Macaca mulatta: one gene and its partners. The protein of the gene in region 1 interacts with the protein of each later gene in a biochemical or structural test. Links are inferred from orthologs where the notes say so. Each region holds a gene or a part of one and is shown in the gene's direction. Other genes may lie near its edges.

Evidence for each region.
Region 2: of the proteins of PTPRB (region 1) and MAPK3, one has a biochemical effect on the other in vitro, tested with the Homo sapiens proteins (2 studies listed by IntAct). The link is inferred for Macaca mulatta from reciprocal best matches to the Homo sapiens genes PTPRB and MAPK3.
Region 3: the proteins of PTPRB (region 1) and CNTN1 form a complex in vitro, tested with the Homo sapiens proteins (2 studies listed by BioGRID). The link is inferred for Macaca mulatta from reciprocal best matches to the Homo sapiens genes PTPRB and CNTN1.

Annotation. Positions count from the first base shown.
Region 1 is NC_133416.1:77,650,709-77,654,362, reverse strand, and holds part of PTPRB (receptor-type tyrosine-protein phosphatase beta), read left to right. Parts: intron 1-2,556; coding exon 2,557-2,823; intron 2,824-3,654. UniProt on the Homo sapiens protein: Plays an important role in blood vessel remodeling and angiogenesis. Not necessary for the initial formation of blood vessels, but is essential for their maintenance and remodeling. Can induce dephosphorylation of TEK/TIE2, CDH5/VE-cadherin and KDR/VEGFR-2.
Region 2 is NC_133425.1:28,444,761-28,448,393, forward strand, and holds the end of MAPK3 (mitogen-activated protein kinase 3), read left to right. Parts: intron 1-113; coding exon 114-223; intron 224-318; coding exon 319-441; 3' UTR 442-473; intron 474-2,401; 3' UTR 2,402-3,002; downstream 3,003-3,633.
Region 3 is NC_133416.1:47,834,797-47,838,450, forward strand, and holds part of CNTN1 (contactin-1), read left to right. Parts: intron 1-2,533; coding exon 2,534-2,633; intron 2,634-2,769; coding exon 2,770-2,951; intron 2,952-3,654. UniProt on the Homo sapiens protein: Contactins mediate cell surface interactions during nervous system development.

The DNA of each region.
Region 1 (3,654 bases):
AAATTAGCCAGGCGTGGTGGCGCACACCTGTAGTTCCAGCTGCTTGGGAGGCTGAGGTGGAAGAATCACCTGAGCCTGAGAGGTCAAGGCTGCAGTGAGCCGTGATCATGCCACTGCACTCCAGCCTGGGTAACCAGAGTGAGACCCTGTCTCAATAAATAAATAAATAAATAAATTTTAATATGGAGACTTCCATAATTATGCATTTTTCAAAAGTTCTACCTTTTAAGAACAAGTACACATCTGTGCCATCTACTTTACCTGGTAGAGCTAAAAAAAATAAGTATCAAATGTATAAATAAATCTGTTTATATCAATATCACTATTAATGTATTATTTTTGAAAGATCTCTAGTAATACTATAGTCCTCTTACAGATGAGGAAAGTATGGCTCAGAAAGTTTATGAAACAGTATCAAGGATACATATATAATAAGACCTAAAGCTATAATTCAAGTCTAGGTCTGTCTGGCCCCAAACCTCATGCCCTCTCCACTGTGACACAATACTTTTTAGATGCCTCCCATTCTCATGACCACTTATTTAGCTGCGGGGCCTGAGGTTTCTATACCATGCCCTACTATGCCTCTATTTCATATCTATGTTTATATCTTTATCTGCATATCTTTAACCCTATGACAAACCCTGTGTTAGAAAGTGGGCATTTGGCTGGGCGCAGTGGTTCATGCCTATAATCCCAGCACTTTGGGAGGCTGAGGCGGGTGGATCATGAAGTCAAGAGATTGAGACCATCCTGGCCAACATGGTGAAACCCCATCTCTACTAAAAATACCAAAAAAAAAAAAACAAATTAGCCGGGCGTGGTGGTGCAGACCTGTAGTCCCAGCTACTCAGGAGGCTGAGGCAGGAGAATCACTTGAACCTGGGAGGTGGACGTTGCAATGAGCCAAGATCATGCCACTGCACTCCAGCCTGGTGACAGAGTGAGACTCTGTCTCAGAAAAAAGAAAGTGGGCATTCAGTAGCAAGGCAGAGCCCCTGACCTCAAGAACGTGATAATCTAGTGAAGGAGACAGAAAAGTAAAAGGCAATGACAGTAAAACATGGTAAGTGCTAAGATAAAAGTGGTTATGAGATGTTAGAGGAGCAAACAAGAAGAATCAGGGAAGGCTTTCAGGAGGAAGTAATATTTAAAGAAAGACTAGGAAGTCATCCAGGTGAAGTGTAAGTTGACTTGGTTCCATCAGAGAAAACAAAGCCCTGGAGGTAGGAGAAAGGATGGCACATTTGGGGACCTACACCTTATTTGGTATACTAGAATAAAGGCCGGGCATGGTGGCTCATGCCTGTAATCCCAGCACTTTGGGAGGCCAAGGTGAGTGGATAGCCTGAGTCTAGGTGTTCAAAACCAGCTTGGGCAATGTAGCAAAACCCCATCTCTACTAAAAGTATAAAAAACAAAAGTATACTAGAATAAAAAATGTGAGCCGTGTGGCCAGGTAAGTAGATAGACCAAATCACGAAGAGCTTTGTTTGCCTGTGAAGGTGTTTTGGAATTATGGAGAGCAACTGCAGGGCCATCAGCATGGGAGTGCTATAAAAATATGCTAGATAGAGTCTGCAGATTGAAAGAGTGGGAGGAAAGGACGCAAGTGACTGGTCAGTAGGCAGCTGCAATAATGTATGGTCTCATTTATACTTGCTAAAGGATATGATATGGTTCTGAGGTAGTGGCAGCACACAGAGAGTGGCTAGATTCAAGAGATAGGAGATTTAGGATACAGAAATAAAACTCATATTTGATTATATAGACAAGGTTGAGAGTGACAATTGAAGTTTCTGACTTGAACCAAGAGATAGAGACAAAAGGCAATGAGAACATTGTGGGAGGGAGATGAGGAGTCCAATTTGGACGTGTTGAGTGTTGGGTGTCTGTGGTACATTCAGGGAGAGATGTGATTTGCAAAAGCAGGAGAAACAACTAAAAGTTTAAATTCAGGAGTTGTCACCTTATGGGTGACACTTCAAACCATGGACATAGATGAAATCTAAGAAGATTATGTAGAATGAGAAAAGAAATGAACATAGGACAGAAAATATTATTATAAAAACAGTAATACTATTTTGCCTTTCACTTCAGGAGCTATAGAACAAATACTAGTATATACTACCGCTGAAGTCAAGACTTGAAGTTTTGACCTTAGTTAATGTTAGTAATAAAAGTCTAAACAAGAAACATAATTCACTATCAAACCCACATTCACTGAATATGAACTTGCTCAGCATCCTTCACTTTCTAGACTCATAGGTATGCACCACTCTGCATATTTATCAGGCCATTTTCACTAACTTTTCTATCTGAGATCCTATTTAAATTCAGAGAAAAAAATGGAGAATCAAAGTAGTTTTACAGACAGGTTAAGCCAGGAAATCCTTTCTCCTCTTTTCTCCATAAGGGCACACAGAAAGTATCAATGCCACACAAATAAAGCAAACGCATCATCTACCTGCAGTTGATTCAGGAGTTTTTCTCAATTGATTACTTTACCCTAAGTGATAAAATCTGTATTTTGTTGCTCCACTTGTCTCTCTGCAGTTCCAGCATCTGTCCAAGGAGTAATTGCAGACAATGCATACAGCAGTCATTCCTTAATAGTAAGTTGGCAAAAAGCTGCTGGTGTGGCAGAAAGATACGATATCCTGCTTCTGACTGAAAATGGAATCCTGCACAACACATCAGAGCCAGCCACCACTAAGCAACACAAATTTGAAGATCTGACACCAGGCAAGAAATACAAGATACAGATCCTAACTGTCAGTGGAGGCCTCTTTAGCAAGGAAGCCCAGACTGAAGGCCGAACAGGTAATTAGCACAGCATAATGTTTTGAAGCACATATTGCCAATGTCTACTATTGTGTAAGAACCACAGGGCAAGAGGGATGACGCAACATTGGGAGATGGTATCCATCTCTTGATACGCTGGGAACATTCACCCTGATTTGCCACTTCCATGTCGGTTGCCCTATCCACACAGGACTCAGCCCACCACACTCTGATTCTGATTTTTCATTAATATTGGTGCTATTAGCTTCCTATTGCTACTGTAATAAAATATCACAATCTTAGTGGCTTAAAACCACCCAGATTTATTATTTTCTAGTCCTGAAGGTTAGAATCTGAAAAATAGTTTTTGGGGACTGAAATGAAGACATCAGGGCTGTGTTTCCTGTAGGGACTTTCGGGGGAGAATCCACTCCTTGCCTTTTTCAGCTTCTGAGGCTGCCCACATTCCTTGGCTCGTGTCCCCTTCCCAACGATGACATTGCTCCAATCTCTGCATGGGACCTTACATCTCTTTCTCTGCTCTCCTGCCTCCCTCTTCCATCTTTTAAGGACTCTTGTGATTACCTTGGTCACCAACTGGACAATCCAGGATAATTCCTTCGTCTCAAGATCCTTAACTTAATCACATCTACAAAGCCCTTTTTGCCACAGAAGGTAACATATTCACAGGTTCTGGGGATTAGGACATGGACATCTTTGGGGCTATTCAGACAACCACATTGGCCTAATTGATTGATAACTTATTTAGTCAGTACATAGGTCTGAAGGCGGGGATGGTTATGTTGACAGGGACATAAAGATAAATCAGGCATGCTTCTCGTCCTTAAAGAGCTGACTGGCGAGACAGAC
Region 2 (3,633 bases), on another chromosome or scaffold:
GGGTGCCATGGAGGGTACGGGAGCCCAGCAGCAGCTGGAGGAGACAGGCAAAGTGATGCTTCTGGGAGCTTCTCCAGTCTTCCCTGTGACCCCTGACTCCTGCCCTTCTATAGCCCTTGACCTGCTGGACCGGATGTTAACCTTTAACCCCAATAAACGGATCACAGTGGAGGAAGCGCTGGCTCACCCCTACCTGGAGCAGTACTATGACCCGACGGATGAGGTGGGCCAGTCCCCAGCAGCAGTAGGGCCAGGGGCAGGGGGGTAAGTAGGCATCCCCCATGCCAGGCCTGAGCCTTGCTGTCTCTGCCACCCCAGCCAGTGGCCGAGGAGCCCTTCACCTTCGCCATGGAGCTGGATGACCTACCTAAGGAGCGGCTGAAGGAGCTCATCTTCCAGGAGACAGCACGCTTCCAGCCTGGGGCGCTAGAGGCCCCCTAACCCAGACAGACATCCCTGCACCCTGGGGCCTGGTGAGTGTCCCCATGGCCGGCACACAGATACGCTGATACTAAATACCTGTATCTATATCTATCTATATCTCTATCTGTATCTGTATCTATATCAATATCTATATCTGTATTTGTATGTGCCTCCATATAGCAGCAAGCTTACCCTGCACCCATGCTCGGTGTGTCTGGTGACAACAGAAGTGCCCGGGGGCTGGGTGCAGTGGCTCATGCCTGGAATCCCAGCACTTTGGGAGACTGAGACTGAGATGAGTGGATCACCTGAGGGTCAGGAGTTTGAGACCAGCCTGGCCAGCATGGCGAAATCCCATCTATACTAAAAATACAAAAATTAGCCAGGCACAGTGGGTCACTCTGGTAATCCCAGCACTTTGGGAGGCTGAGGCGAGTGTATCACCTGAAGTCAGGGGTTCGAGACCAGCCTGGCCAATGTGGTGAAACCCTGTCTCTACTAAAAATACTAAAATTAGCCGGGTGTGTAGGCATGCGCTTCTAGTCCCAGCTACTCAGGAGGCTGTGGTGGGAGGATTGCTTGAACCCGGGAGGCGGAGGTTGCACCACTATACGCCAGCCTGGGCAACAGTGAGACTCTGTTTCAAAAAAAAAAAGGGGGGGCCAGGCACAGTGGCTCACATCTGTAAGCCCAGCACTTTGGGAGGCCAAGGTGATGGATCACGAGGTCAAGAGTTCGAGACCAGCCTGGCCAACATGGTGAAACCCCGTCTCTACTAAGAATACAAAAATTAGCCAGGTGTGGTGGCGTGTGCCTGTAATCTCAGCTACTTGGGAGGCTGAGGCAGGAGAATTGCTTGAACCCAGGAGGCAGAGGTTGCAGTGAGTTGAGATCACACCACTGCACTCCAGCCTGGACTACAGAGCAAGACTCCATCTCAAAAAAAAAAAAATGCCCAAGTGCTGCCCAGACTCATGGCCCACCCAGTCCTCCAGCCCCAAATGTCTCCACCTGTCAACACCCTGCATCCTCCAGCCCCAGCAGCCATTCTAATCTCCTTCTGGGAACGGAACTGGTAAAGAGGCAAGAGGTCACTGAGGGGCCCTGTCACCCAGGCTTCGGCTCTGGGTGTGGCAGAAGCAGGTGGGGCCATGATTGCTTTGGGAGGGGCCCAGCAGCACCCAGCCTGACCCAGATTGCCAGGCCTCCTCACACCTGCTGCCAGATCAGCAGTTCACATAGCTGTGGGGACCCTGCTGGGCCTGCCCCCACCCACACTGCCTCCTTGCCTCCTCTGGTCTCTTCCTGTCTTCAGCCAGGTGTGGCCTAATAGGAAGAAGGCGTGCATACCTGGGCTCAAACTCCAGCTGTGCCACTTAGTAAGTGCTGTGTGATATTGGGCAAGGCACCTCACCTCTCTGCACCTCAGTTTCCTGGAGTCAGTTCTATTTATCTTTTTTTTGTTTTCGTTTTTTTAAGACAGTGTCTCACTCTGTCGCCCAGGCTGGAGTGCAGTGGTGCAATCATAGCTCAATGCAGCCTCAAATTCCTGGGGCGCAAGGGATCCTCCCAGCTGGCTGGACGAGCCATTGCAACTGGCTAATTTTTTTTTTTTTTTTAAAGTTGGGGTCTTGCTATATTGCCCAGGCCAGTCTCCAACTCCTGGGCTCAAGTGACCCACCCACTTCGACTTCTCAAAGTGCTGGGATTACAGGCATGAGCCACTGTGCCCAGCTGAGACTGTTCTAATAATGAAAGCATAAAACCCTAAGCATTGTTCTAAGAGGTTTACATGTCTTAATTCCTTTAATCTTACAGCAGTACCTCCAGCTAGGTACTATTATTATCTCCATTTACAGATAAGGAAACTGAGACCCAGCCTATCCAGCTGTGAGGGTGAGAGACGTTCAGGTCAGGGCTCCCGCGGGTCTGCCTGGGGTATGCTAATGACTCCTTTTCTGTCTGCTTCTCTCTTTAGGACCTGCCTCCTGCCTGCCCCTCTCCCGCCGGACTGTTAGAAAATGGACACTGTGCCGAGCCCAGACCTTGGCAGCCCAGACCAGGGTGGAGCATGGGCCTGGCCACCTCTCTCCTTTGCTGAGGCCTCCAGCTTTAGGCAGGCCAAGGCCTCCTCCCCAGCCGCCCTTCCCACAGGACCTCGGGGGCTCAGGTGGCCCCAGTTCAATCTCCCACTGCTGCTGCTGCACCCTTACCTTCCCCAGTGTCCCAGTCTCTGGCAGTTCTAGAATGGAGGGGCTCTGGCTGCCCTGACCTGCTGAGGGGCAGGGGTGGAGGGTGGGGGGCGCTGAGTAGGGACTCAGGGCCAGGCCTGCCCCCCTCATCTCATTTAAACCCCACCCTATCTTCCCTGAAGGAACATTCCTTAGTCTCAAGGGCTAGCATCCCCGAGGAGCCGGACTGGGCTGAATCCCCTCCCCGTCAAAGCTGTCACTTCGAGTGCCCTCGCTGCTTCTGTGTGTGGTGAGCAGAAGTGGAGCTGGGGGGCGTGGAGAGCCCAGCGCCCCTGCCACCTCCCTGACCCATCTAATATATAAATATAGAGATGTGTCTATGGCTGACCCTGGCTCTGTCTGTGTTTGCGACGCCTCCGCCCTGCCCCGTGCAGCTCTGAGGACAGACTCCTGCAGCCCAGCTGCTGCTTGACTTGGGCTTTCTGGGGCCTGGTGCCCTTCACTCCCAGCTGCCCAGGGTTGGGGACGGGGCTCTGGAGAGCTCCAGACTCCTAGAAAGAAGGGGGTCAATTTTCCCCTTAGTCACTGTCCTGTCCCCACGCTAATGGCTTCCTGTCTAACTGGTTGGGGGTGATTCAGGAGCACCCTACACATCCCTGGATCCTCTGAAACTGCAAGGGGTAGGCATGTTGGATGCGCTGGCTACAAGCACCAGTGGGAGGGAGAGGTCCTAACAATCCTGGGTGGTTTTTACTCCCCCGATGTGGCCCAGGACAGGGGGATGCTGGGGTCTGGGAAGGGCTTGGGGATGTGAGGGCCAGGGCTGCTTGCCTCATCTGATACTACCCCGGCTTCAGCTGAACCCTGCAGCCTGGCTCCAAGCCAGCCCAGCGGCAGGCTCAGCAGGTCCCACGGGCGTGGCAGTGGCCAGTAGTAGAGCCGGCCCACACCGGCTAGGCAGGCAGCACAGTCCCACGGACGGCTGAGTGTGCGGCTGCAGGAGCTTCTGTGGGAGTAC
Region 3 (3,654 bases), about 30 Mb from region 1:
GGACACTTTGCAGTCCTTATTCTGTTCGAGCTTTGACACTGCCTCTTCTGCCTTTCATGAAGTTTTCTTTCTTCACCTAATTTCCTGAACTTTTCATCTCCCTTCTGCCTCTCTGACAAATTTCATAGAATATTCTTCACAAAATATTCTTCTTTCTTATATTTTCCTCTAATCTTTCCTAGATATTCTCACCCACTTATACATTTTCAACAGTATACCTTTGCAGGAGACTTCAAGTTCACAGCTCTGAAATTTTTCTTGTGTTTAGATCTCAATTCTTCCTGTATCCTGGACTTGTCCCCCCAAAAAGCTCTCAAAGACGTTAAGCTCAAAATGTCACAAATACACATTATTTCTCCCCCAAACCTTCTCCTTTTCTTTAGCTTATTTAGCAACACAATTTTATTTCTAATAACTCAAGGTAGCATGATTTATTATCAAATCCCAATTTCCACTGATCTTCGGTACAGCTAACCCAGTGGCTCTTAATTAGTATGTAAGCACCTGGAGAGTTTTGGGAATAATGCAGGACCCAGACGTATTGATTCATCAGGCCTGGAATGTGACCCAGGAATCCACAAGTTGAACCAGTATCCTAGGTGATTCTGATGATTGAGCCTTTAATCTACACCTTGAGAAACATTGATCCAAGGAGCCGTCCTGTTGATTCTGCCTCTAAAATACAATTTATATTTACTATTTTATTTCTGTTTTCACTGTAACTATGCCCTAGTGTTGGCCCTCACCTGTTTTGCCTAAAGTGTTGAAACAGCGTTTTATGGACCTCTGAGATTGTCTTCTATATATATTTCTCCTCTCCATGCTCCATCCTTTAAAAATGCCAACAAGGTCTTTGACTTAAACCAAAGATATGATCCATATTACTTCTCTTACCAAGTCCCAGTGGTAGTTACTTGATACGATTTGGCTGTGTCCTCACCCAAATCTCACCTCGAATTGTAATAGTCTTCACTTGTCAAGGGCGGGGCCAGGTGGAGATAATTGAATCATGGGGGGCTGTTTCCCCCATACTGTTCTTGTAGTAGTGAATAAGTCTCATGAGATCTGATGGTTGTATAAAGGGGAGTTCCCCCTGCACATGCTGTCTCTTGCCCACTGCCATGTAAGATTTCCCGTTGCTCTTCCTTAATCTTCCACCACGATTGTGAGACCTCCCGTTATGCGGAACTATGAGTCAATTAAACCTGTTTCCTTTATATATTACCTAGTCTCAGATAGGTCTTTATTAGCAGAGTGAGAACAGACTAATACATTACTTATTGAGAAAATTCGTCTCAAAATCTTTCTATCATTTTTTCAGTCCTTCTAGATTGTGGGTTCCAGCTCATATACTTCAGCATCATTTGAGTTCCTAGACCTTTTAAAATTCCTTGCACACTCCTGGAGCTTTGTCATAATATGCTGTTTGCTCAACCTGAACTGGTCGAATTTAAATGCCATATTTGCCTCAGAGTCCTATAGCCCTTACGTACTTCTAACTACCCTCCTCATCAGTCACTCTTTCAGAGTACCCATTTTGGTTTGGGTTATATATCATTATTTATTTATTTATTTGTCTCTTTAGTATTTTACAGTGTGAGGTACACACTCAATTTGTGTTCCTAAATAATGCCTTTCACCTTTCTGAACCTGATTTTCTCTGTAAGCCTGAAGGATTAACACATCTTTCAGGACTGATATGCTAAATAAGTGTTTATTTTGAAGAGTGCTGTGTTGTCTGAGTAAATGTTTTCCTTCTTTCCCTCTCTCCTTCTCTCTTTTCAATTTGTTTCCCTTTGCCTTTATCTCTGGGCATTTCTTTTCTCCTTAGTTTCTTGCCTTGCATCTTTCTTTTCTACTCTCTTCTCCTTCTTCTCTTTCCTTCTCCTTAATTTTCTTTCTCTATCTTCCTGAGTTCCATGCAGCAGTGATCACAATGTTTGCCACGTATCTGTTGTTCACTAAAGACAGGAATTTTTTTTTTTTTTTTTTTTGAGACGGACTCTCGCTCTGCCGCCCAGGCTGGAGTGCAGTGGCCAGATCTCAGCTCACTGCAAGCTCCGCCTCCCGGGTTTAAGCCATTCTCCTGCCTCAGCCTCCCGAGTAGCTGGGACTACAGGCGCCGGCCACCTCGCCCGGCTAGTTTTTTTTTGTATTTTTTAGTAGAGACGGGGTTTCACGGTGTTAGCCAGGATGATCTTGATCTCCTGACCTCGTGATCCGCCCATCTCAGCCTCCCAAACTGCTGGGATTACAGGCTTGAGCCACTGCGCCCGGCCAAAACAGGAATTTTTTAAGTAAATTAAGTCACATTGGTTATGCAGCTGTCAGAATGAGCCAATATAGCTGGGGAGTTATACTATATTCATACTGTGCATAAACAAACAAGTCTATCCATTATGATATGACCAGTACCTGTACAGAGAAAAGCTTCCATATTGAAGCAGCTCTAATCCTACAGAATTACCATGTTTAAGAGTAACTACTATTGTGCCTAATAATTAGTGAACATTTGTGTTTCTCTTAATATTAGGAACAACAAAACCATATCCTGCTGATATTGTAGTTCAGTTCAAGGATGTATATGCACTGATGGGCCAAAATGTGACCTTAGAATGTTTTGCACTTGGAAAGTAAGTATACTGACACTTTCATTAATATATATAGAAATAGTACCATTTTAGGAAATAAATAATTGTTTAGCTGTAAACATAAAGTAATTGTCTTTTAAGTGTGTGAAACTTTAGCACTGGTATCTTCTGTTTAAAGTCCTGTTCCGGATATCCGATGGCGGAAGGTTCTAGAACCAATGCCAAGCACTGCTGAGATTAGCACCTCTGGGGCTGTTCTTAAGATCTTCAATATTCAGCTAGAAGATGAAGGCATCTATGAATGTGAGGCTGAGAACATTAGAGGAAAGGATAAACATCAAGCAAGAATTTATGTTCAAGGTAGATATATTATTTTAATTTTGTATACATTTCATCAATATCTTATTTAAAACCATTTCCATACTTGAAAAACTACCATATAATGATTAATAGTTTTAAGAACAGTGATATATGTTACATCATGGAGAATGATAAAATATTTCTCATATGTCTAATGAAGTCACAACTATGAGTTATAGAAGTTATGAACTTATTACCAATTGAACCATAGAAATGGATCAATAGAAGTGTTATTGGTAATTTTCAGAATATACACTTAATGTAGTTTGTTTACTCATTTTATCACTGTCTTTTTTCAGTATCTTTTTATTTATAGAAGAAGCTATATGTTATGACTTAAGTCAGTGGTTTGCAAACTTAAGCATGCATCAACATCACATGGAGGGCTTGTTAAAACACAGATTGCTGGGCCAAACTCTCAGGATTTTTAATTCAGAGGTCTGTTAAGGGTTCATGAATTTGTATTTTTAACAAATTCCCAAAGGATGCTGCTACTATTGGTCCTGAAGCCACACTTTGAGAACCACTGGTCTAAGGAATCTTCTTTTTTTTTTTTTTTTGACAAAATTATCTTGGCACAAACCTTTCATTTTCACACATTAAAATAAACTTACATTTGGGAAGAGAGACTTTTTTTCAGGCCACATTGGAAACTTTCCAGACTGAAACTATAATGTTCCACAACATGAACCTCGCAGGTCAC